3 linked regions of the Oryctolagus cuniculus genome follow. The protein of the gene in region 3 purifies or fractionates together with the protein of the main gene of each other region. This does not show direct contact. Links are inferred from orthologs where the notes say so. Each region holds a gene or a part of one and is shown on either strand. Other genes may lie near its edges. The genes, in order: HNRNPA1, BTRC and HNRNPU.

Region 1 (7,028 bases), on a different chromosome or scaffold from region 3:
ACAGCATGGGTGCAAAAGAAAAAAAAAGAAAAAACTACATTAAAACCCTTTGTTGGAATGCTTTACACTTTCCACAGAACAGAAACTAAAATAACCTGTTATACAATTAGTCACAAATACAGTCCTCGAGTTTTTTTGCCCATACACATGAGTATTGTCTAAAACATGTCTTCTTTGTAGCAGCTAGGCCCTGCCACCACTGTGCTTGGCTGAGTTCACAAATCTGTTGTAACCTGTAGCTTCCCTGTCACTTCTCTGGCTCTCCTCTCCTGCTAAGCTTTGTTTCCTGTTGAACAATATGGAATAAAGTTGTTAATCTAAACATATTAAGACTCAAGGCTACAATCCAATATTAAGTTGTTTCCCACAAATTTTGCTCATCTGAATTATCAATATTATCTGAACTTAATACCCACAATTTTACTGCAATATTATAATGTTAACTATGCCACACTGCTTAGCTACATTAGGGTTTAGCAGCGATTATAAAAACTTAAAAAAAAAAGCACACACAAAAAAAGGTGTTTACTTACCTGGCAGTTATTAAAACCTTCTGCCACTGCCATAGCTGCTGCTGCTGCTAGAACCACCATAGCCACCTAGAACAAGATTGGGCCTTTTAACCTCTCAAGTGCCCACGGCAAAAGCCCTGCTTTCATGTTCAATGGGATGAGACAAGTTCAAACTTAGGAGTGACTATTTAACAGCCTTAGCGAAACCTGACAAGGGCAGCACCATCAGCTATGCACCCAACAAACCAACTCCTTTCCCTTTTACTTGCTCATCTCCCAGTTACATTCATACCATACCTTGATTTCGTGGTTTGGCAAAATATTGGCCGCCACCACCATAGGGGCCAGAGCTTCTGCCTCCAAAATTTCCTCCCTTCATGGGTCCAAAATTTGAAGATTGATTGTTGTAATTGCCAAAATCATTGTAGCCTCCGCTGCCTCCAAAATTGCTTCCTAGGGAACAGAAAGATGGCCTTTGTGTGTTACTTGAGAAGGTGACTGAGAGTACCCAATTCTGCTCAGTGTTCAGAATTAAAGCTTTTATTATCTGCCTGCTTCCTCCCAAACTCAGGTGGCTGCACATCTGCATTTTCATTCTCTGGACAAGGCATTCAGTTGAATAATCCAGAAGTTTTACAAAGCAACCCAGTTCACCGCATTAGAAGTTGAATTTTTCCTAGTGGCAACTAGAGGTGTACTCTCTAGCCTCACAGGCCTTTGTGCATGCATCCAGGCCACTGCCAACGGTCAACGGTCTTGGATGTATCAACTAAGTGCCTGCGGTCCCAAGGAGTTCCACACACTAAACCCTGCCAAGATGCTAACTCACTCACATCACAGACACCACTACCCGCTTAGCATCTACTTATTTGGGAGTGAGGCGGCCCCAGCTTAAAGCTAGGAGGAGGTAGCACAGCAAGCTCATTTCCTTTTAATATACCATGCAGTGTACCACACAATGCTTTAAGAGCTTCCAATCGCAATATGGGCATTAAAATGCTAAAACACTAATCTAGCTATCAGACCAAGTACTTGGATCACTCGATACCTACCACTACCACCGCCAAAGCCGCCTCCGCCGTTGTTATAGCTGTCATAGCTGCCACTCCCGCCATAGCCACTGCCCTGGTTTCCATAACCCTGTCCACCACTTCCATAGCCTCTGCTTCCTCCAGAGTAACCAGGGCCGCCTCCTCCATAACCACCTATAAGAATACAATTCTTCTCAATAAGACAAAAGTATTTAACAATCAAAATCGGTTCAAGTGTAATGGCTAAAGGCCTGCGCAAAGCATGCTTATTATGGGTTCAGTTGAGCTTATCATGCACTAGCAGTTAACAGTTTCTATCATCCTAATCTAGTAACACAAGTTGCCAGAAACATTTTTACCTATGTATTCTTTAAAGACTTACCGTCATTACCAAATCCATTGTAACCATCCCCACTGCCACCATAACCACCTCCACCGCGGCTGCCGCCGAAGCCACCTGGAAGAAAGCAAACACGTGCAGCAGGTTTAGAGCATATGAATTGCGTGGTACGCTCTGGAAGCGCTCCCTGCACTGTGACAACGATTGGCACACCGGAGTAACTTCTGGTTAGTTACAGGCCAGAGCTGCATTTTAGATAAAACTTAACTTCGGAAACGTAGGCCATTTGTTATATGCTACTACAGGTTACAGAAAAAAAAGGGACAAGTCATCTAGGGTCAAGAAACCACAAGCTCTCTAGAGTTAACCTTAGCTAACCATACATACCACGACCACTGAAGTTTCCTCCACGACCAAAGTTGTCATTGCCACCAAAACCACCTCCACGACCACCACCAAAGTTTCCAGAACCACTTCGACCTTGAGAGATAAGTGTTAAACCATACAGATTGGAAAAACTCAAAGTTACCTTAACGTCCGACTAAGCAATAGACATACCTCTCGGGGTGGACGAAGCGCTGGCCATCTCCTGCTTCGACAGGGCCTTCCTCACTTCACAGTTGTGGCCGTTCACAGTGTGGTATTTCTGAACTGAAATTTGATGACAAACAGCCCGGGGTTAGAGTGGAATGCCACGTGCGTTGCAGAAAGCCCGCAAAGTGCCTGGGATCTGATACTCACTGACAATCTTATCCACGGAGTCATGGTCGTCGAAGGTCACAAAAGCAAAGCCCCTCTTCTTGCCACTGCCTCGATCAGTCATGATCTCAATCACCTCGATTTTCCCGTACTGCTCAAAGTAATCTCGGAGGTGATGCTCTTCAGTGTCTTCTTTAATGCCACCCACGAAGATCTTTTTCACAGTGAGGTGGGCACCTGGTCTTTGGGAATCCTACCGAGCCGAGAACCACGAGTTACTCTAAATGGCAAAATCTGTGTCCTTTATCAAGTACTTGAAAGGGTCCAGATGGCTCCCCAATGGCAAGCCTATTACCACAACCGATGGGGGTTTGGGGGCCCACTTACTTCTCTCGACACAGCCCTCTTTGGTTCCACAACTCTTCCATCCACTTTGTGTGGCCTTGCGTTCATGGCCGCATCCACCTCCTCCACGGTGGCGTAGGTGACAAACCCAAAGCCCCTGGAGCGCTTGGTGTTCGGGTCTCTCATTACCTGGAGACAGCGTTAATTTGCTTATTACAAGGCCCGGGCCCGTAGGAGGTTATAGGGCGGTCCTCCTGTTCCCCGCTCCCGCAACTTCCAAAAAGCAGGCCGAAGAGCCACAAACGAGCCATTCCTAACTCAGAACTCAGGCCCCGTTAGGATCTTAAGCCCTCGCACAGAATCTGCAGGAACAGCCGCCGACGCCCCGCCTCCCGGCCCTCCCCAGTCTTACCACGCAGTCCGTGAGCGTGCCCCATTGCTCAAAATGGCTCCTCAGGCTCTCATCGGTCGTCTCAAAGCTCAGCCCTCCGATGAAGAGCTTCCGCAGCTGCTCGGGCTCCTTGGGCGACTGGGCGGGAGAGCAAAATTGGTTTTTCTCTTGTAAATTCGGGCTACCACACGACCCCGTTTCCACGCGGGGGGTGGGGAACACAACTCGGCCCCCACAAAGGCGGCACTTTTTGTTCGCTCCGGTCCAAAGCGGGCCACGTGCTCCCCCTCATCAGGGGAGGCGGCCCGTTGGGGGCTGGGGAGCCTCCAGCGCATGCGCCGCTCCGCTCCCTCCAGACGCACGCGCGCAACAAAAGGTCCGCGCGGGAGGGGGACATCGCCGTGAGGGGCATCAAGGCTTTTTTAAAACCCGCTCGCCGGGACAAAATTGAACCTAAATCGCCATATGGCTAACGATTTTGCCCCGACGCCGACCCCGGAGTGATTATCGAGGGGCTAGCGGCCCGCAACCTCATGGCGACGACGAGGACAAAATGGCGACTTGAACTTTGGGAGGGGTAGGCCTTGGCCGCGACCGAGCAAACTGCCGAAAAGGTTGCTGCGGGCAAAGAAACCGCCCCTACTGGACTCGAAGAGGGAGACGAGGGGGAGAACTACGTTAGAAAAGGGGAGCTCCTCACCTCTGACTTCGACATGACGGCGGTGGGAAGAGAGAACTCGACGATGCTTCCTCGGCGGCGTCCGCAAGCAGAAAGGAGTAAGCCAACGAACGTATCCGCCAGCCTACCTTCGGCCTCGCTTTTTTATCCCGCCTCCTCGCTTTCGACATTGGCAGACTCCACCCCTGCCTCGCTCTGATTGGACATTTGAAATCGCTTCCCTCTACTATTGGTGTATGGCGCCGCACTGCTGCGTACGTCACCGTTAGGGCGTTCTGCGCAGTCTCCACCCCTCGGACCCCATTGGTCCTCGAGCAATCTTATTCTTAGCCAGCCTGATTGGCTAACTGAACAATCATTCATTTTTGAACGTACTTCGCCTGTCTAAACGTTTTTTTTTCATTCTACTAGTCCAAATTATATATCCTATTTGTTTGGTAAAGCATTATTAACACCAAGCAGCAGAAAAGTAGTTAGATGTGACGGTTTTTTTCAACAACCGCCTGTTGAGCGCATGTGTAGTAAAATGGCGATCTTGCGCATGCGCATTATAGAGTTCCGCTCGCCGCTTGAAACACGTGAAATGGCGGGCGGGAGAAGGCGGTTAACCTACGGCGCCTGCGTAGTGGCGGGAGTTGCGCGCTGCTTTGCGCAGGCGTTGTGGGCGGAGAAAGGGTCCGGGCCCAGGATTGGTTGCGCAGGCGCAGGGAAGGATCCGTTTTGGCGGGCGGTTGGCGTTGCGCAGAAGGCAGCAGCAGCGGTGGCTTGTGGTGCGGCCTCAGCACAGAGGAACGGGGCAGACGTTAGGGTGTGTGATCACTCTCGATCCCGGGTAAGTGGCAGAGAGTCTTGTCTACCTGTACAAGGCCTTGGACCGGCTCCAGTTGGGCCCGTTATTGTGTGAAATGAATGGACCGTGGGGTGGGGGGATAGTCAAGGGGCAGCGGTGGGTTGGGCCAACCAATAGAAGAACAGGGGGCGGGATATTCCATCCCTGTAGGTTGTGTGGAGCTGTGCCGCCGAGGCGTTTGACTGGCGCGTGTCTAGGCCAATTGGGTCTACCTCGAGCTGCCGACTGATCGGCCTTTGGGCCATCGGAATGTGGGAGGCGGGTTTTCCCTTCCTGAGCAGCGTCCCGCCGAGCCAATGAGCGCGAAGCGCGCGGTAGGTTGGGCTTCTCCGAGGGGCCGTGGGTTTGACTCCAGCGGGGAAGGCGGGAGTTGGGCCCTCAAGTGGATGGACCAAATCTGGAGCCAGTAGGCGGGCGGCCCAAGGAAGCCTCTCGGACAGGTCGTCCAATAGGCTCTCCAGGACGGGGAGGTCTTCGATTTGGTGGGAAAGGGTGGGGAGGAAGGAGATTCAATGGTCGTGATGGCGTGCGGGGGTGGGTTTTTCCCCCCTACGACTTCTGCGAAGCCCCCCGCCCGGTGCACCTCTTTGGTAGCGGAAGCGTAAATTTGGTCCTGGGTGCTGCAGCTTGGCATCGCTCTCCACGTCGGGGCATCCCAGCATCCACCACATTGAGTTTGGGGGAAACCCGAGCAGGGCTTTCGATTTAGAGAACTTGTTTTAGGAAGACGGACTGAGTGTTAGCGAATGAGAGAAATCACTGTGTACTGTACGGCAAGGCGACCTCAGGATGCCTGTTTCTGCGGACACAAAGGTGTTCGTAGGCCCGCAGAAAAGTTTCAGAATCCTGCCCCTGTCCGGAGTGTGTTGCTTCTGCCGACGCCGGGGCCGAGGCAGGCTGGGTTTCCAATAGACCCGTGTTTAATCTTTACAGGGGTGACGATTTGTGATTAAAATAAAATAAAAAATGAAGTCAGTTTTGTGTGTGCGTTTCTGTTTATCATACTTCTCATCGCCCTTGTCTCTCTTCTCAGCTAGCTGCTCCGTGCTTTTGTCTTGGTCTTTTTCTCTGACTTTCCCTCCTGTACATATCTTTCTTTACACCATTAAAGATCTCCCGTGTCCCTCTTTGTGCTGTTCCTTTGAGGATGTCCCACGGAAGCCGCTGTAGGAGGCGATACGTTAGGGTGTTGGAGACAAAAGACCCATCCATCACCTGGAGTATTCATTGCCTTTTGATTAGATTTCCTTACGAGGGTGTTCTGCATGTAGTCTGTCTTCTGTTGATAATGCTTTCTCTGCTTATTCAGGGATCTTTTGAAAAAAAAGTTTGCATTATATATTGGGTGTGTTAGGGTCTTACTGCTTTATTGTTCACTGACTTAAAGCCAAGGGAGCAATCTTTAAATACTCTAATAAAAGTCAACCACATATGAAGTACACTTGTGATTGGAGACCTCTCCGCACTTGTGCAAATACAAATGATTTTAATGGAGCTTGTGATGAACCGAGCAGAGATTTCCGTGTTCTCCCGTACTTGCAAAAACGGCAAATCTGTGTTTCATACCTGATCATAAACCTATTTGTGGATATGCTGATAGTGCAGTTGCTGAGCTTCTGATAACTAAAGTGAGAGCGGTTGAGGGTATCCTGGATTTATTTAGGTTTAAAAGGAATACAGTCTTAATCTATAACAAGGTTTCTCATCCTCAACACTATGGGCACTTTGAGCCAGATACTTCTCTGTTGGGCAGGGAGTGGGGGCTGTCTTGGGCTCCCTGGCTCTACCTATTAGAAGCCAGCAGCACCCCCCCCCCCCCCCCCGCTGTCCTCACAGCCGCCAGGCGTTGCCAAAGGTCTGAGAGGGGTAAGCATCGGAATCTCAGTTTGAAACAGACCTAAAATGGCTGATGTTAGAGTTAATTATCCTTTCAAAGTCCTCTGTTTTACCAATTCAATAAAAGTGGGATGTATTTAGGGAGGGGCCTTTGCTGAGTGGATTACTAAATCCTATCACTTATCTCTTTCAGACACATAATAGGATCATTGTTCCTTCTGATAAAAGTGATACTTCATTAACATTCTTAATATTTCTTGCAATCTAATTATATGATTGACTGCTTGAATTTGGCTCCCTAAATAATGGCAAAGGTGTTTTTTTTAAGAAGGTAAATTTTGTCTC
Region 2 (6,928 bases), on a different chromosome or scaffold from region 3:
AGAGCATTCCAGGTCTGAGTCCAGGTCTGAGACCAGAGCCCGAACTGCTTTCTGCTTCTCAGTGCCCACTACTCTTGAGATCTCTTGCTTTTAATCCATGGCAATCACATCCAGGCACTCCAGGTTCCTCTGCATCAATAATGGCACTATCTCTGTATGTTAAGTAAAGAGACCTCATATACATTCTTGATCACTGTATTTACCATGCCTTGCTAAAGTATTTGAACTTCTTCAAATCATAGGTGCTAAAAAAGGGGGGTTAGGTGTTGAAGACTGGCTTATCTTAGTCTGTTTTAAGTCAAAACCTTTTATGGTGGAAGCTCTTTGACAACTGGGACCACTTCTATGTGAAATGCCTACTACCTATGAGAGTGTGAGTACATGATAAATGTTAAATATTAAATTCAGAATGTTACCATAAAATGTGATCTGCTGATTAAAAAAATGGACTTTTCCCAAGTGGTCTTTTATTATACTTTTAAGAGTTACCATTACTGAGGGAAGAGAACAGAACCAGTATTATTTAAGAGAGAAAACAGCAGAGTTCATGTCCTGGGGCAGACTATCAAATCCACCTAGACATAAAACACAGTGGCTGGGGCCTGTGGTGTACTGTAGAAGGTTAAGCCTCTGCCTGCAGCGTCAGCAGACATTTGAGCCCCCGCTGCTCTCCACTTCCAATCCAGCTCCCTGCTAATGCACCTGGGAAAGCAGCAGAAGATGGCCCCAAGTACTTGAGGCCCTGTATTCATGTCAGGGACACAGAAGCAGCTCCTGTCTCCTGGCTTTGGCCTGGCCCAGCTCTGCCATTGTGGCCATTTGAGGAGTGAGCCAGTGAGTAGAAGATACTTTCTCTCTCTCTCTCTCTCTCTCTCTCTCCTTTTCTATCTCTGCCTTTCAAATAAATAAATAAATAAGTCTTTAAAAAAAAATCACAAGAAATAAAACCAAACACAGTGGCAGAGTGGAAGCTAAATCTTAGTGATCCAAAGCTTTAGTACAAAACTACAGGGGCCAGTGCTGTGGCGTGGTGGGTAAAGCCTCTACCTGCAATCCTGGAATCCCATATGGGTACCAGTTTGAGTCCCTGCTGCTCCACTTCCGATCCAGCTCCCTGTTAATGTGCCTGGGAAAGCAGTGGAGGATGGCCCAAGTGCACCCATGTGGCAAACCCAGAGGAAGTTCTTGGCTCTGGACTGGCCCAGATGTAGCCACTGTGGCCACTTGGGGAGTGAACCAGCAGATGGAAGACCTCTCTCCCTCTTTCTCTGTAACTCTGGTTTCCAAATAAATAAATAAATCTCTAAAAACAAAACAAAACCCTGTATCTGTTTATTCATTTCTGGTTAGAAGAAGTGGGAGACACTTTCACAGACAGCACATGGGGCAGGGTATAACCAGAAAGGCTTTGTCAATGCAGCAGGCTTGCTAAGACCACTTCAGAGAAGAAATTGAGAAGCCGATCACAGATTATTTTTAAAAAGTAAAGGAGGAAAACTAACAGGGAAAAAAGGCAACATGTAGAAACGGAAGTAGCAACAAGAAGGTCAGGCGAGTACTGGAGGTCTTAACAGGGTGAACAAGCATTTGCAACTTCATGGGGCCTAATCAAGAAGACAAATATGGTCAAAGACAAAGAAGAAACCAGGCAGGCATGGGTTTCTGTGAAGAGACAGGAAAGAGTGGCAATTGGTGCTGAACCCTGGATAATTTTTAGCTAGACTATCACACACTTTTTTCAAAGGCCAAACGTCATCTTTCCAGTGATACTAGTTTTGCGTTCTCTGTAACTACTGTCGATTTCGGCTTAGTGCCAGCCCTAAGCAAAACTGGGGAGCCTGCTTTTACTTCTGGCATTTTCACAGCCATCTGCTAAGACTGCCCATTTCCTGTTCTCCCTGCCTGCAAAAGGAGACTTCATAAACTCTCAATGTCTACTGAAAGCTCACTGTCATTTACTGTTCAAATAGGAACAAAATGTATTTTAACAGGGAACAAAACCTTTATACCCCAGGGGATGAACCTCTGTAACTGAATTCCAGGTCAGTAGTTAATGGGAAGACAGTTTTTTGTGATGTTCTGAGGGGCAGAGAAATTTTCCCAGCTGCTCTAGTCTTCCCATGGAAGCAACTGCTTGCTGTATTTCTTTCTTTTTTTTTCTTTCTTTCTTTTTTTTTTTTTTTTTTTTTGACAGGCAGAGTGGACAGTGAGAGAGAGAGAGAGACAGAGAGAAAGGTCTTCCTTTTGCCGTTGGTTCACCCTCCAATGGCCACCGCGGCTAGTGCGCTGTGGCCGGCGCACCGTGCTGATCCGATGGCAGGAGCCAGGTACTTATCCTGGTCTCCCATGGGGTGCAGGGCCCAAGCACTTGGGCCATCCTCCACTGCACTCCCGGGCCACAGCAAAGAGCTGGCCTGGAAGAGGGGTAACCGGGACAGAATCCGGCACCCCGACTAGGACTAGAACCCGGTGTGCCGGCGCCGCAGGCGGAGGATTAGCCTAGTGAGCCGCAGCGCCGGCCCTTGCTGTATTTCTAAGGCTAGTGCAGGTACTTAAGCAAAATGGACTCTGAATGTCACCTAACTGTATACTTCGTTTCTTTATTATACACATTAAGAGTTTATTTTCTGGACCTAACTATATACTTAGTTTCTTTGTTATACATGTAAAGCATTTATTTTCTGTACCTAACTGTATACTTAGTTTCTTTGTTATACACCTTAAGAGTTTATTTTCTGGAAGGGTGTTGTGGTACAGACAGTTAAGCCACAGCTTGTGATACTGGCATTCCATATCAGAGTGCTAGGTGATCCAGCTGAAAAGCCCATGAGAGTATTTCAGGCATGGAAAGCCAAGAAACTCTGGCAAAAAAAAAAGACCTAAATGAAGGATCTCCGCGAGTGAGATCCCAGTGGAAAGACCTGACTATTATTCTTCTGATCCAGCTTTCTACTAATGTTCCTGAGAGGCAGCGGATGATGGCCCAAGAACCTGGGTTCTCTATGAGGGAGATCTAGATGGGAGTTCTGGGCTCCTGGCTTCAGCCTGGCCCAGCCCTAGCTGTTGCAGACATTCAGGAAGTGAACTTGAGGACAGAAGATCCCCTCCCCTCACTCTTGGTCACTCCGTCTCTCAAATAAATTTAAAAAAAGATTATTTATTTTAAAGTTCAAATTACAGAGAAAGATGGGGGGAGTGGGAGGCGGGGAGAGAGAGGTCTTCCATCCGCTGGTTCACTCCCCAGATGGCCACAATGGTAGGGCTGAGCCAAGCTGAAGCCAGGATCCCAGAACTCCCATCTGGATCTCCCTCTTGGTTGGCAAGAACCCAGGTTCTTGGGCCATCATCTGCTGTCTGCCAGGAGCATTCTCCGGTCTCCCACATGAGTGGCAGGGGCCCAACCACTTGGGCCATCTTCTGCTGCTTTTCCCAGGCCATTAGCAGGGAGCTGGATTGGAAATGGTGCAGCCAGGATACAAATCTGCACCCATATGAGATGACGGTGTCACAGATGGCAGCGTCACCCGCTATGCCACAATGCCACATCTTTTTTATACAATTATTACATAGACAAAGATCTCTTTGGTGTTTCATTCCCTTCATTGAGAGGAAAAATTTTTAAGTCTTTTTAATTGCTAGAATGATTGAAATCTCTGAAGCAGTTGGTATATACACACACACACACACACACACACACACACACATATATATATATCACGTGTTAATGAATTTCAAAGACAGAAAAAAAGGGGGATAGTTAGATTTTGGTGAAAATTCTAATCCAAAGCGCGTATTTTAAAAAGTATTCTCCATTCTTAACTGTTTTAGATCTCTTTATGATCCAGATAAACAACTTAAAAATTAAGTTGGAAGGGCAAAAATGAATATGCATATACCTATTATCAGTCTTTCTATCAGCTAAAACATTTATTATGTCACCTTTCTTAATGAATGACTCATGCTTGACTTCATATAGTACCATTCTAGAAACATACTTAGGAAGAAAATTATATAAAGAAAGAGGTTACCAGAAGTTCTAATGAATGGTTAAGAGAACAACAACAAAACTGGTGAAATCTCTTAGGCTCTAACTACATGAGGGTACTTCAAAGTTTACAGAAAACAGAATTAAAGTTAAGTGTATCTTGGTAAAAATTTTTTTTAGATCCATGCATATGAGTATAATAACCTTAGTGAATTCAAAATGAAGTAAGAAATCACGAGAAAACCCAAATCTTAAGAAGAAATAATGATTTATACTAATTTTTTTATTCTTTCTGACAGCTAGAGTTCTTATTTTAGTTGGACATAAAATATACTCTTTTGTTACAAAGGTAAAAAAAATGGAGGAATGGGCTAAAGGCAAGAAATCTGAAAAAACAAAATGCTCACTTGTCCTGGGTTTTTACAGAGGAAAGCTTGATCTGATGGCTTCCATGTGATTCAAACTCATTTGCTTGCCTTATAAATTACTTATCAGCCCTTCTGCAAGATACTAATTTCTGCCTAGAGAAACAGGATGGCTGGTCAGTGTTCTATTATTTTTTGCCAAGCAATATTAACACATTGTGATGTCATTTTATGAGTGACGGGTCAGAAGAAAAACCGCTGAGTGCATGAGCAACTATTTTCTATTTTTAGCTGCAAATCAGTAAAATCACTGTAGTAAGTGGTAAGTGATTGGTTCACTGTTCCCAACAACCTTCCAGTGGCAAGACGGCTGGGCCCTAACACTCTCTGATTGTTAAGCAAGTTAAAAGGCTCACCACCCTCTTCGTTCTGCCAGGCCTCTCCACAGAGAATCTGTCCTGACCATTCTCTCGATGAGTTTCTTCCATAACATGCCATCAGACGTCACTCGGTACCATTCCTTGCACACAAGTTCAGCAGCACATAACGATTTGGCATCCAGGTATGACAGAATGTTCTCAGCAATATGATCCAAACCCCGTGCTTTCAGTGGGGAGGGGAGAAGGCAAAGAGAAAGAATAAAGGGGATAGTGAATGATTTTTCACAAAAGGTCCTTTAAAACAGAATAGCATTTGTTCTATTATGAAGGCATATCATTGTCCCCAGCGTAGTCCAGTTGCTCTTTCAAACAGAGGCTTGGGTAAAATGAGTGTCAATAATTTTTCCATAAGGTTACAGAAATGAACAGTATTTTCCATCTTCCTTTAGATAAGGAAGTTAAAGCTAACAACCAGCAACCCCTCCAAGACATTAAAAATAAAAAGGATTCCAGAAAACAATTCACATCTATCTATATGGATTTCAGCACTAGGGGATGTTCTGTGGATGGCATCTCAAACTCTGATTCAGACCCCCCCAAATCTCTATATTAGGTCCATTTCTCATTCTGTTTCTATTACTGCTGCAATTCCAAAGCTATTCAGTAGAAGAAATATCCTTTAAATGTACTGGGGGAGAAACACTAAGGCAGAATGTGCTGGGTTATAGAATTTGGGGCATGCAGAAAGGAGGAGAAGAAGGAAATACAGAATGGTATAGGAATACCCCAAGAGGAAAGAAAGTGAGGTATGCTTCATTTCAGATGTTTCAAAAAAGAAAAAAAAAAAAAAAAAGCTGTGTGAGAATAGCTGCTGCTATAAAACCTAAATGACAGTTGACCAAAAGTGGAAAAAAAAATCCAGACCAATAGACAACTTGGTAAGCATCTCAGAGGATATTCTGCAGGATGTGCAGAGGAAAAGAGTAAAGAGTAGATCTTGGCTTGGGTAAACCTGACAGCCACTCAAATCTGCACTGGGGTCCCAGTGGAAAAGCTCCTACACGACAGGATGATCGCACTAAAAAAATCTTTGGGCTTCTGTTCTAAGTTCAAAAACGAGTCAAAAACAATGAAGGCTATTTCTCTTTACAGGTTATATATTACAAAGACTTAAATAGTTCAGAAGGATTCCATTATGCCCTGACTCCAGTAGACATAAATTTAACAAACAGGAGAGCACCACATTTCATTTTTGTGCCTTTCCCCAAATTATACAGACACACTTTGATGTGATTAGCAACAATCCAACTATGCTTAAACATTTTTCTAATTATAAAGATTGTATGGATATCAGTCACATCTTCTAGCAGACTTGGGAAAGAAGGCATTAAACGGATCTTGTTTGGCTGGCATCACATGTTCATATTTAAGCATAAGCAGATGGAGGCATCCATCACCTAATTCTTATTAAAGAAACATGATGATAAGCCAATTACAGACACAGGACTTATAAAATACATCATGTAAAATCCAGTGATGGCACAATTCCTGAATCTTTACACTGGAAGTGTCTCCGCCGTCACAAGTTGCCAAAACACCTTCCTGTGTTTTAGTAGCTGACATCAAGTTGCTCCTGATCACTTACTACGTACCCATAAGTCTTGGGAAGTAATTTCACCAAACACTCCAAACAAAACCATTACATTAATGGATTAGAGGCATTTCTGAAGTAGATGGTTTACTAAACGTAGCCAGATGGTGTAGGTTTCTAAGTTTAAATGTCCATAAAGCATTAAACTGATGATTTAATACCTCACCGAGTGGTCAGCAGACACATTGTGGGGATCAGTATGGAACAAAGAATACGCAGGTCTCATCAACTCCTGTTCAATTCTTAGTAGTGTAAGCTTGAGATAGTAGTATGTCTCAGTGACTGGGGAAAACACAGTAATGAGGTACACACAGACTGTACAAAGAAAACTACTCGCCTGTGGCTAAAACAAAAGCCAGTGAGTGAAGAGGGGGCAAAAATCTATTTAATAAAAGATACAGATAAAATTCGGCTTTAAGAAGTGGCTATTTTCTGGGGAGCCAGTGCTGTGGAGTAGCGGGTAAAGCCGCCTCCTGCAGTGCCAGCACCCCATATGGTGCCGGTTCGAGTCCTGGCTGCTCCTCTTCCGATCCAGTTCTCTACTATG
Region 3 (7,028 bases):
GACACACCATAAGATGCCCTTCCTCCAGCCCAAAGAAAGGCAAAGCTCTCCATAGTAAGCGAAGAAGCACTGAGGCGATCTCTTGATATTTTAAAATGTAGATCACAATTATCTGCAATTATATTAAATACCATATTATTCTTTTGACATCCAATGGAAATCTATTTGCTATGTAGACAAAACTTGGATGTTAAATTTTTTTCATGTACTTCTTAATGCTGCAGAAAACAGTTTTTAACACCATGCTGTTTTCCCAATTTTCCGTGTAAGCCCCACTCCCACCATTCTTATCAAATTAAGTACTAAAGAGTAAACTGCCTATAAACTAAGGCTTAATGTCTTTAAGAATATAAAACAAGACATGTGACATGGATACATACCTGCTCTGCTCTTTACCTTGATTTAGAGGCACGCAGTAGAGGATAGCAGGAAATCAAAGTGAAGCATGCCAGAACCAGGTAGAATTTACCAGTGCCACAATAAAACTGAAGGGAGGCCACGGCCAAATATTTGAACATAGGAGTATGAGCTGTTGATCCCGTACTTTAACACTAGGCTCCTAAGTCCTAAATTATTTTCTAAATCTTAGGAATAAGGCAAGGCAGCCTCAACTTGGAATATACAAATCTGGTCTTCTAACACTGTCAATATTACAGCATTTTGGTCTTGTGTATTTGTGTATTAGCAACAATTAAGGATTAAGCTCTTAATCAGGTCATCCAAATCCAAAGCATCTTTAATCTAGCTACCTCTGGGTCACGTGAGGGACAGCTAAAGTCAAGGTAGAAAGCTGGCTCTTTTCCTTTTTACAGGACAGGAAACCTACAGTTCGGAACTTTTAAATTAGCTTTGCTCCTGAAATTCCTGATCACTGATAGAACTATGATTTCAAGAAGCTGTTGTTGCTCCTGTAATCAGTGCTTCAGCATCTTGGTAACTGCTAGTAACTTGAAGCAACTGATTTTGACATCAAAATTTCAAGCCACCTTTTCCATATGCATTTTTTTCCCAAAGACTCAACTCTTAACTACCTGTACAGGGTATTCAAGTAAGAAATCAGAGGTATCACCATTTATCACCTGAATCAACAATCTGTACAAGGAAGCATCCGAATCTAACTTCCGCCTTACCAGAGCAACTTGACATTTTAACTTTTCAAGTACGATTTCTACTCTTGGTTCTATTTCACACTGGAAAGACTGGTGCATCCTATTCTGATCAAACGCTAACCCAACGTAATTTAAGTAAAATCTGACAGCCACGGCCCATTTAAAGGTTTGCAATAATTCCGCATACTCGATTGCAACCCAACTGGGTAACGTAGTATTTACAGTGCTGCCATTGATACCATTCGCTGCTGAAGAAAGCTAGTGGCCCAGTGATGGCCCACTGCTGCTGCCCCAGGTCTTTGGAAGAAATCAACTTATGTTAAAGCAGCAGCTACTGAACTGGAATTGAGAACAAAAGAGCAGTTATTGAAATAGTATTACAGTCTTTTAGAATAGGGAATATACTTGAGTGCTAATGGGAAAAGTCATCAGTTAAGTATTTAACCAGCCCAAGTAGCTGACTTAACAATCCCAAAATAAAAGGAAATTACTGTAGGACACGTTAACAGTTTCCATTAGCTAACTAGTCCAAAATTGGCATCAATTTCACATTCAAGAATAAGAAGCTTTAAATTACAATTAAAATTGCCAAAGCCTGTAAAATCAATTCAACACAACTGATGGCATATTAATATTAAACTACTGCACTCTGGGTATCAATCATTATCTTTGCTTTTTAGAAAACTGTACATGTTTTCTGCACTTAGGTTAAACGTACTGCAATCTAACATTGTCAAAAAAACCCAAGGCATTTGAGGACTGCGTGGGGGAGCGGGTGAAACAGCTTCACTTACAAGTATCAAGACAAACCACTGTGTCATCGAAGTGCTCATCTTCTTCTTCAACGGGGGGCTGAGGAGATTTGGCTCTGAAAGACAGAATGGGCTCCTGATACGTCTCTGCCCACCCACGGAGAACGGGCAACAACAACGCACAATCCGTTAGCATCCTCTACCTGCTGTACTTGTTCTCTTCAATGTACTCAAAATATCCACGGCCATGATCTTCTCGAGGTCTTTTTACACCTCGCTTTTTATCTCCGCCTTTCTGCTCTGTTTTGCCGTCTCCTATAACACACGACACTCTCATAAGTGCTCAAGCCACCCAACACCCCCGCCAAAAGAAAAAAAAGCCGCTTTTATTTCAAGTTGCCTAAAAGCATCGAATTAATGAGTTTTGGGTGAATACTGAACCGCCAGGTCGAATGTGAATTCAAACTATCAGCTTGGAATTGGATTGGAGTTAGTGACGCAGCCTAAAGACGTTACTAATTCGGCCCGTCTACCGGAGGCTTCAAGAAAGCTTAAGCGCAACTGCGCGCCGGAGGCCCCGAGCCCACGTGGATCCCGACGAGCGGTCAGGAGGGGGAGGGGCGCGGGGGCGGCGGCCCCTCCCCCACCCGGGCCCGCGCAGCCCGCGGCCGCATTGTACGGATCTTCCGCCCCGCTCGGCGCGCCGGCTCCTCCCGCCGGAAGTGACGTCACGCCGAGCCCCTGCGCTCCTTGCACAATACCGCGGCGAGGAGCCGCCAAAGCGCGCCCGCCCCGGGACCTCGGGCCTCTCCCCTCCCCCCGCCCTGAGCCATGTGCCCGCACCGCGCGCACACACAGCGCGGCGGCGCCACCGCGGGCCGACGGGGCTCCTCCCCCCCTCCCGCGGCAGCTGCAGCTCCCCCGCCCCCACCCCCGCCCCGGCTCCCGAGCCACATAATGGAGGCGCTGCCACCGCCGTCACACACGCACACGCACACACACACCCCGAGCCCCAGGCCTCTCGGCTAATCTGGGATTCCCCGCACCCCTCCCTCCCCCCACCGCCGCCCACCCAGCCACCAGCGGGGGGCTCCGGCAGGCCGGGGGCCCGGTCCCCACCCCACGCGGGCCTCCCGCCGCGCGCAACGTACAACGCAGCACTCACCCGCCGCCGGAGCCCCGGGGCGACCGCCTCCTCCGCCGCCTTCCGCCTTCTTCTTACCTCCCGCCTGCTGCTGGCCCTGCCTCGCCCCGGGCGGCGCCACCGTCACCGCGAACAGCGAGGTGGGGCCGCTGCTCTTCCCCGCGGCCTCCTTGGCCGCCCCGCGCTGCTGCGGAGGCTGTTGCTGCGGCGCCGCCGGCGGTTGAGGCTGCTGCTCCCCGTGCCCGTTCTCGTCGCCCGCGCCCTCCTCCTCGTCGCCGAGCTCGTCCTCCCCTTCCTGGAAGCCCTGATCATCGCCGTTCTCGTCTTCCGAGGCGGCCTCCTCCTCCTCCATCGGGCCCGACTCGGCCGCCCCCGCGGCCCCGTTCTCCTCTCCTAGCTCCATCTGGTCGCCATCCAGGGCGGCGATCCCTTCCTCCTCCTCTTCCTCCTCCTCCTCGTCGTCGTCGCCGCCGGCCGCGGCCTCCTGCTCGAGGCCTGCTCCCGAGCGCCCGGCGGAATCCCCGCCCAGGTCTAGGCTGCCGTTCCCGGGCTCCATGGCGGGGCGGCCCCCGGCCTCCTCGTCGTCCAGCGCAGCCTGGAGTCGCTCCATGAGCTCGGCCTTGAGGCCCTTGTCGGAGAGGCGCCGCTTCTTGAGCTCCTCTTTCAGCTCAGACACCTTCAGCTTTTTTACATTAACAGGCGAGGAACTCATGATGAGGGCCCCGATTCGCGGCAGGGAGCTTGGCTCGGACTGGGCTCCGCTCACTCGGCCACTGGTAGCGGCTGCTGCGGCTGCTCCTCGGTCCGGGCGGCGGCTGCGGCTGGAGGTGGGTTCGTGCTGCAGAGAGGACCCGCCTGGTGTCGAACGGCGCCAATTCCTTTCACCGAGTTCGCGAGGGAGACGCGGAGACTCGCCTGGCGCGAGCGAGCACGCAACGTCCTCTCGCAGGGGCGGCGCCGCGCACGTAATATAGCCGCCCCGCCCCCCGCGCTGACGGGCGCGCCGCGCAGCAGGAAGGCGGGAGCGCGCTCGCGCTCGGCCCCGCCCAGCACCGTCCCTGCCTCCCCGCCCCCACGCCGAGGCCCGGGTCGGGAGCGCGGCACAGGCCGCGCAGTGCGCTTCCTATTGGGTGCCGAGCAAATGGAGGAGAAGGAAACCGCCTTTCGGTTTAACCGGCCCGCTGCAAAGTCCACTGGGTTTCTGCCGAGGGAGCTCGTTCTGCTCTTGGCCTCCCAGCCTGGGCGGCTGCTCGGCTTGAAATGCTAGCAGAGCTCAGCTTGGCGTTTTCAGCTCGAACCCCTCCACCTTTTCTTCCATCTTAGTATTGCCGTCCTGGGTGCCCCTCCTGCTATACCGTTTTAAAACGCCTCGGGATTTTATTTCCGCTCTGGCTTGTCTAACCCAGCCTGGCAGTCAGCACACGGAGAGTTGGTTCGTCCCTTCTTCCCCCCCTCTCCCCCCCCACCTCCGGCCTCGTATCTCCTTTCATTTTTCTAAGCCGGCCTGGCGAATGGCCTTTTAAATTCGGGAAGCCTTTCTTTTGTGTCTTCGGCAGCCCCCGGTGCGGGGCCTGGGAAAGCGGCTTCTCCCCTCCTCCGGTCTGCATCCGCAAAGCGCGCTCTTCGCGGCAGCCACACGCATGGCGTCAGTGGCCTTGCAGAGGCCTCTGTGGGGCCTGATGTTTGTCATTCAGGCCCGGGCGTGCGGTGAGGAGGGCGAAGCGCAGCTAGGACCTGCCACCCGTGGATTTTCTCCCTGTCCCCGCGGGGACCCAATGGTGCCCAAACCAAAGGCTCCTGAGATGGAACAGGGCGACAGTCTGGCAGACGGGCCATGAGAGACCTCGCTCTCAAAAAGAAATCCGTGATTGGATCGTGGTTGAAGTTTGAGAGTGGCAATCCGGGGTAGCATCCTAATCCCCCAGCGTCCCCACAGTGCCAGGCCAGCGATCCCCGTGGGAATGAGGAAAGAGACCTGCTGCACAAAAAGACTGCTGTGCTATTGATTTGAAATGTGGAAGTACAGAAATGCAAATCTTGTCCCGTAGGCTGAGGTGATGTAACTGATCCACAAATGTTCGTTTTTAAAAGCTGCTTTTCAACAGTTTTTAAGAAATGTGTCTTACCCTGTATTCAGGCATAAGGTGAAATACTGACATCCGTGAGATTATTTGAGTTGAGATTAATAGTGTGCAGTACTGGTAATCCTCAAATTAACAGAGGGGACTAGGACAGCCCGGAAGTAGAAGCGTCCAAATAGTGTCAGAAATTCACTTGGCCTTTGGCTATGTTGCTGAAGCTTGCCAACAAGCCACAGACGAATTTGAACTCTTCCTTGCTCTCATTCAGAATTGGGAAGAGAGCTGCAGGGGGCTTCGATGTTCTCCAACTGGGTAATTAATGAATCAGAGTTAAGTGCAATTATGTCGATGGTCCTCTAATGTGTATGTGTCCTCAGATTTAATTTATGTTTTTAAATTTTAGTCAGAAGGAAACAATTTCCATTTAACACAGAAAAAACTATGAAAACCAAGCTTATATAAGCATAATAGAGTTTTACATTGTTCTTAGATGATTATTAAACCATTTATATTAATAAATGAATTACTACTTCTGGTACACATGAGAAGTTTCCATGACTTCATCTCCCAGAGCTTTGCAGAGGGTTGAGAGTTGGATGGGTCAGATCACCCCCAGCCTGCTCGTTTTAGAGCTGTGGCATAGCTAAGTCACCTTCTGCAACAGTGGCATCCCACTGGGGTTCTGATTCAAGTCCCACTGTTCCCCTTCTGATCCAGCTCCTTGTTACCCGCCTGGGAAAGCAGAAAGATGGCCCAAGTACTTGTGCCTCTGCACCCACATGGAAGACCCAGATGGGGCTCCTGACTCTTGAATTTGGCCTGGCCCAGCCCTGGTTGTTGCAGCCACTTAGGGGACTGAACCAGCAGATGAAGATCTCTCTCCCTCTCTTTCTCTCTTTCGAATAAATAAATCAATCCTTTAAAAAAAGGAAATGAGACCCTCACTCTCATCCCAGTGCTCCTTTAGACAAAATTTGAAAGAAAAACGGTTGCTCTAAATGCCCAGAAAACCATCATCTCACCATCTGTCCTTTTTACAAACAGCGGAAGTCTCTCGGTCCATATTTCATCACTTGGTTGGGGCAGACGTGGCACAGCAGTTAAGATGCCACTTGGGATGACTGCGCCCCATATCAGAGGAGCTGGGTTCAGGTCCCAGCGCTGGCTTCCATTCCATTTTCCTGCTCATTTACACCCTGGCCCGTATCAGGTGGGAGCTCAAGTAACTGGATCCCTGCCACCCGCATGGGAGACCTGGGTTGAGATTCTAGCTCCTGGCTTTGGCCTGGCTCAGCCAGGAATGTTGTGAGCATTCAGGGAGTGAACCAGCAATGGGAATCGGTCTGTCTCTTTTTCTGTCAGTCTCTCTGCCTCTCAAACAAGTGAAATTTTAGGGGCCGGCACTGTGGCATAAAAGGTTAAGCCTCTGCCGCATCCCCTGGGTCCCTGCGCCCACAGGGGTGATCTGGCTGAAGCTCCTGGCTCCTGGCTTCAGCCTGGCCCAGCCCTGGCCATTGTGGCCATTTGGGAAGTAAACTAGTGAATGGAAGACTTCTCTCTTTCTCTCTCTCTTCTTCTCTCTATCTCTGCCTTTCAAATAAATAAATAAAAGGCCGGCGCCGTGGCTCAATAGGCTAATCCTCCACCTTGCGGCGCCGGCACACCGGGTTCTAGTCCCGGTCGGGGTGCCGGATTCTGTCCCGGTTGCCCCTCTTCCAGGCCAGCTCTCTGCTATGGCCAGGGAGTGCAGTGGAGGATGGCCCAGGTGCTTGGGCCCTGCACCCCATGGGAGACCAGGAGAAGCACCTGGCTCCTGGCTTCAGATCAGCACGGTGCGCCGGCTGCAGCGGCCATTGGAGGGTGAACCAACGGCAAAGGAAGACCTTTCTCTCTCTGTCTTTCTCTCTCACTGTCCACTCTGCCTGTCAAAAATAAAAAAAAA

What was found.
Region 1: the proteins of HNRNPU (region 3) and HNRNPA1 purify together in Homo sapiens (affinity purification with mass spectrometry; 6 studies listed by BioGRID and IntAct, with this or other methods). This does not show direct contact. The link is inferred for Oryctolagus cuniculus from reciprocal best matches to the Homo sapiens genes HNRNPU and HNRNPA1.
Region 2: the proteins of HNRNPU (region 3) and BTRC purify together in Homo sapiens (affinity purification with mass spectrometry; 6 studies listed by BioGRID and IntAct, with this or other methods). This does not show direct contact. The link is inferred for Oryctolagus cuniculus from reciprocal best matches to the Homo sapiens genes HNRNPU and BTRC.

What each region holds. Positions count from the first base shown.
Region 1 is NC_091442.1:57,214,361-57,221,388, reverse strand, and holds the start of HNRNPA1 (heterogeneous nuclear ribonucleoprotein A1), read right to left. Parts: upstream 4,160-7,028; 5' UTR 4,034-4,159; coding exon 4,019-4,033; intron 3,457-4,018; coding exon 3,340-3,456; intron 3,117-3,339; coding exon 2,970-3,116; intron 2,836-2,969; coding exon 2,625-2,835; intron 2,535-2,624; coding exon 2,442-2,534; intron 2,364-2,441; coding exon 2,271-2,363; intron 2,001-2,270; coding exon 1,926-2,000; intron 1,718-1,925; coding exon 1,565-1,717; intron 966-1,564; coding exon 810-965; intron 600-809; coding exon 544-599; 3' UTR 534-543; intron 287-533; exon of another isoform or gene 1-286. Other genes in the region: CBX5 (chromobox protein homolog 5), read left to right, coding at 4,512-4,829. UniProt on the Homo sapiens protein: Involved in the packaging of pre-mRNA into hnRNP particles, transport of poly(A) mRNA from the nucleus to the cytoplasm and modulation of splice site selection.
Region 2 is NC_091446.1:28,389,911-28,396,838, forward strand, and holds part of BTRC (F-box/WD repeat-containing protein 1A), read right to left. Parts: intron 4,954-6,928; coding exon 4,767-4,953; intron 1-4,766. UniProt on the Homo sapiens protein: Substrate recognition component of a SCF (SKP1-CUL1-F-box protein) E3 ubiquitin-protein ligase complex which mediates the ubiquitination and subsequent proteasomal degradation of target proteins. Recognizes and binds to phosphorylated target proteins.
Region 3 is NC_091444.1:64,894,555-64,901,582, forward strand, and holds the start of HNRNPU (heterogeneous nuclear ribonucleoprotein U), read right to left. Parts: upstream 3,982-7,028; 5' UTR 3,718-3,981; coding exon 3,027-3,717; intron 2,177-3,026; coding exon 2,065-2,176; intron 1,978-2,064; coding exon 1,904-1,977; intron 113-1,903; coding exon 1-112. UniProt on the Homo sapiens protein: DNA- and RNA-binding protein involved in several cellular processes such as nuclear chromatin organization, telomere-length regulation, transcription, mRNA alternative splicing and stability, Xist-mediated transcriptional silencing and mitotic cell progression.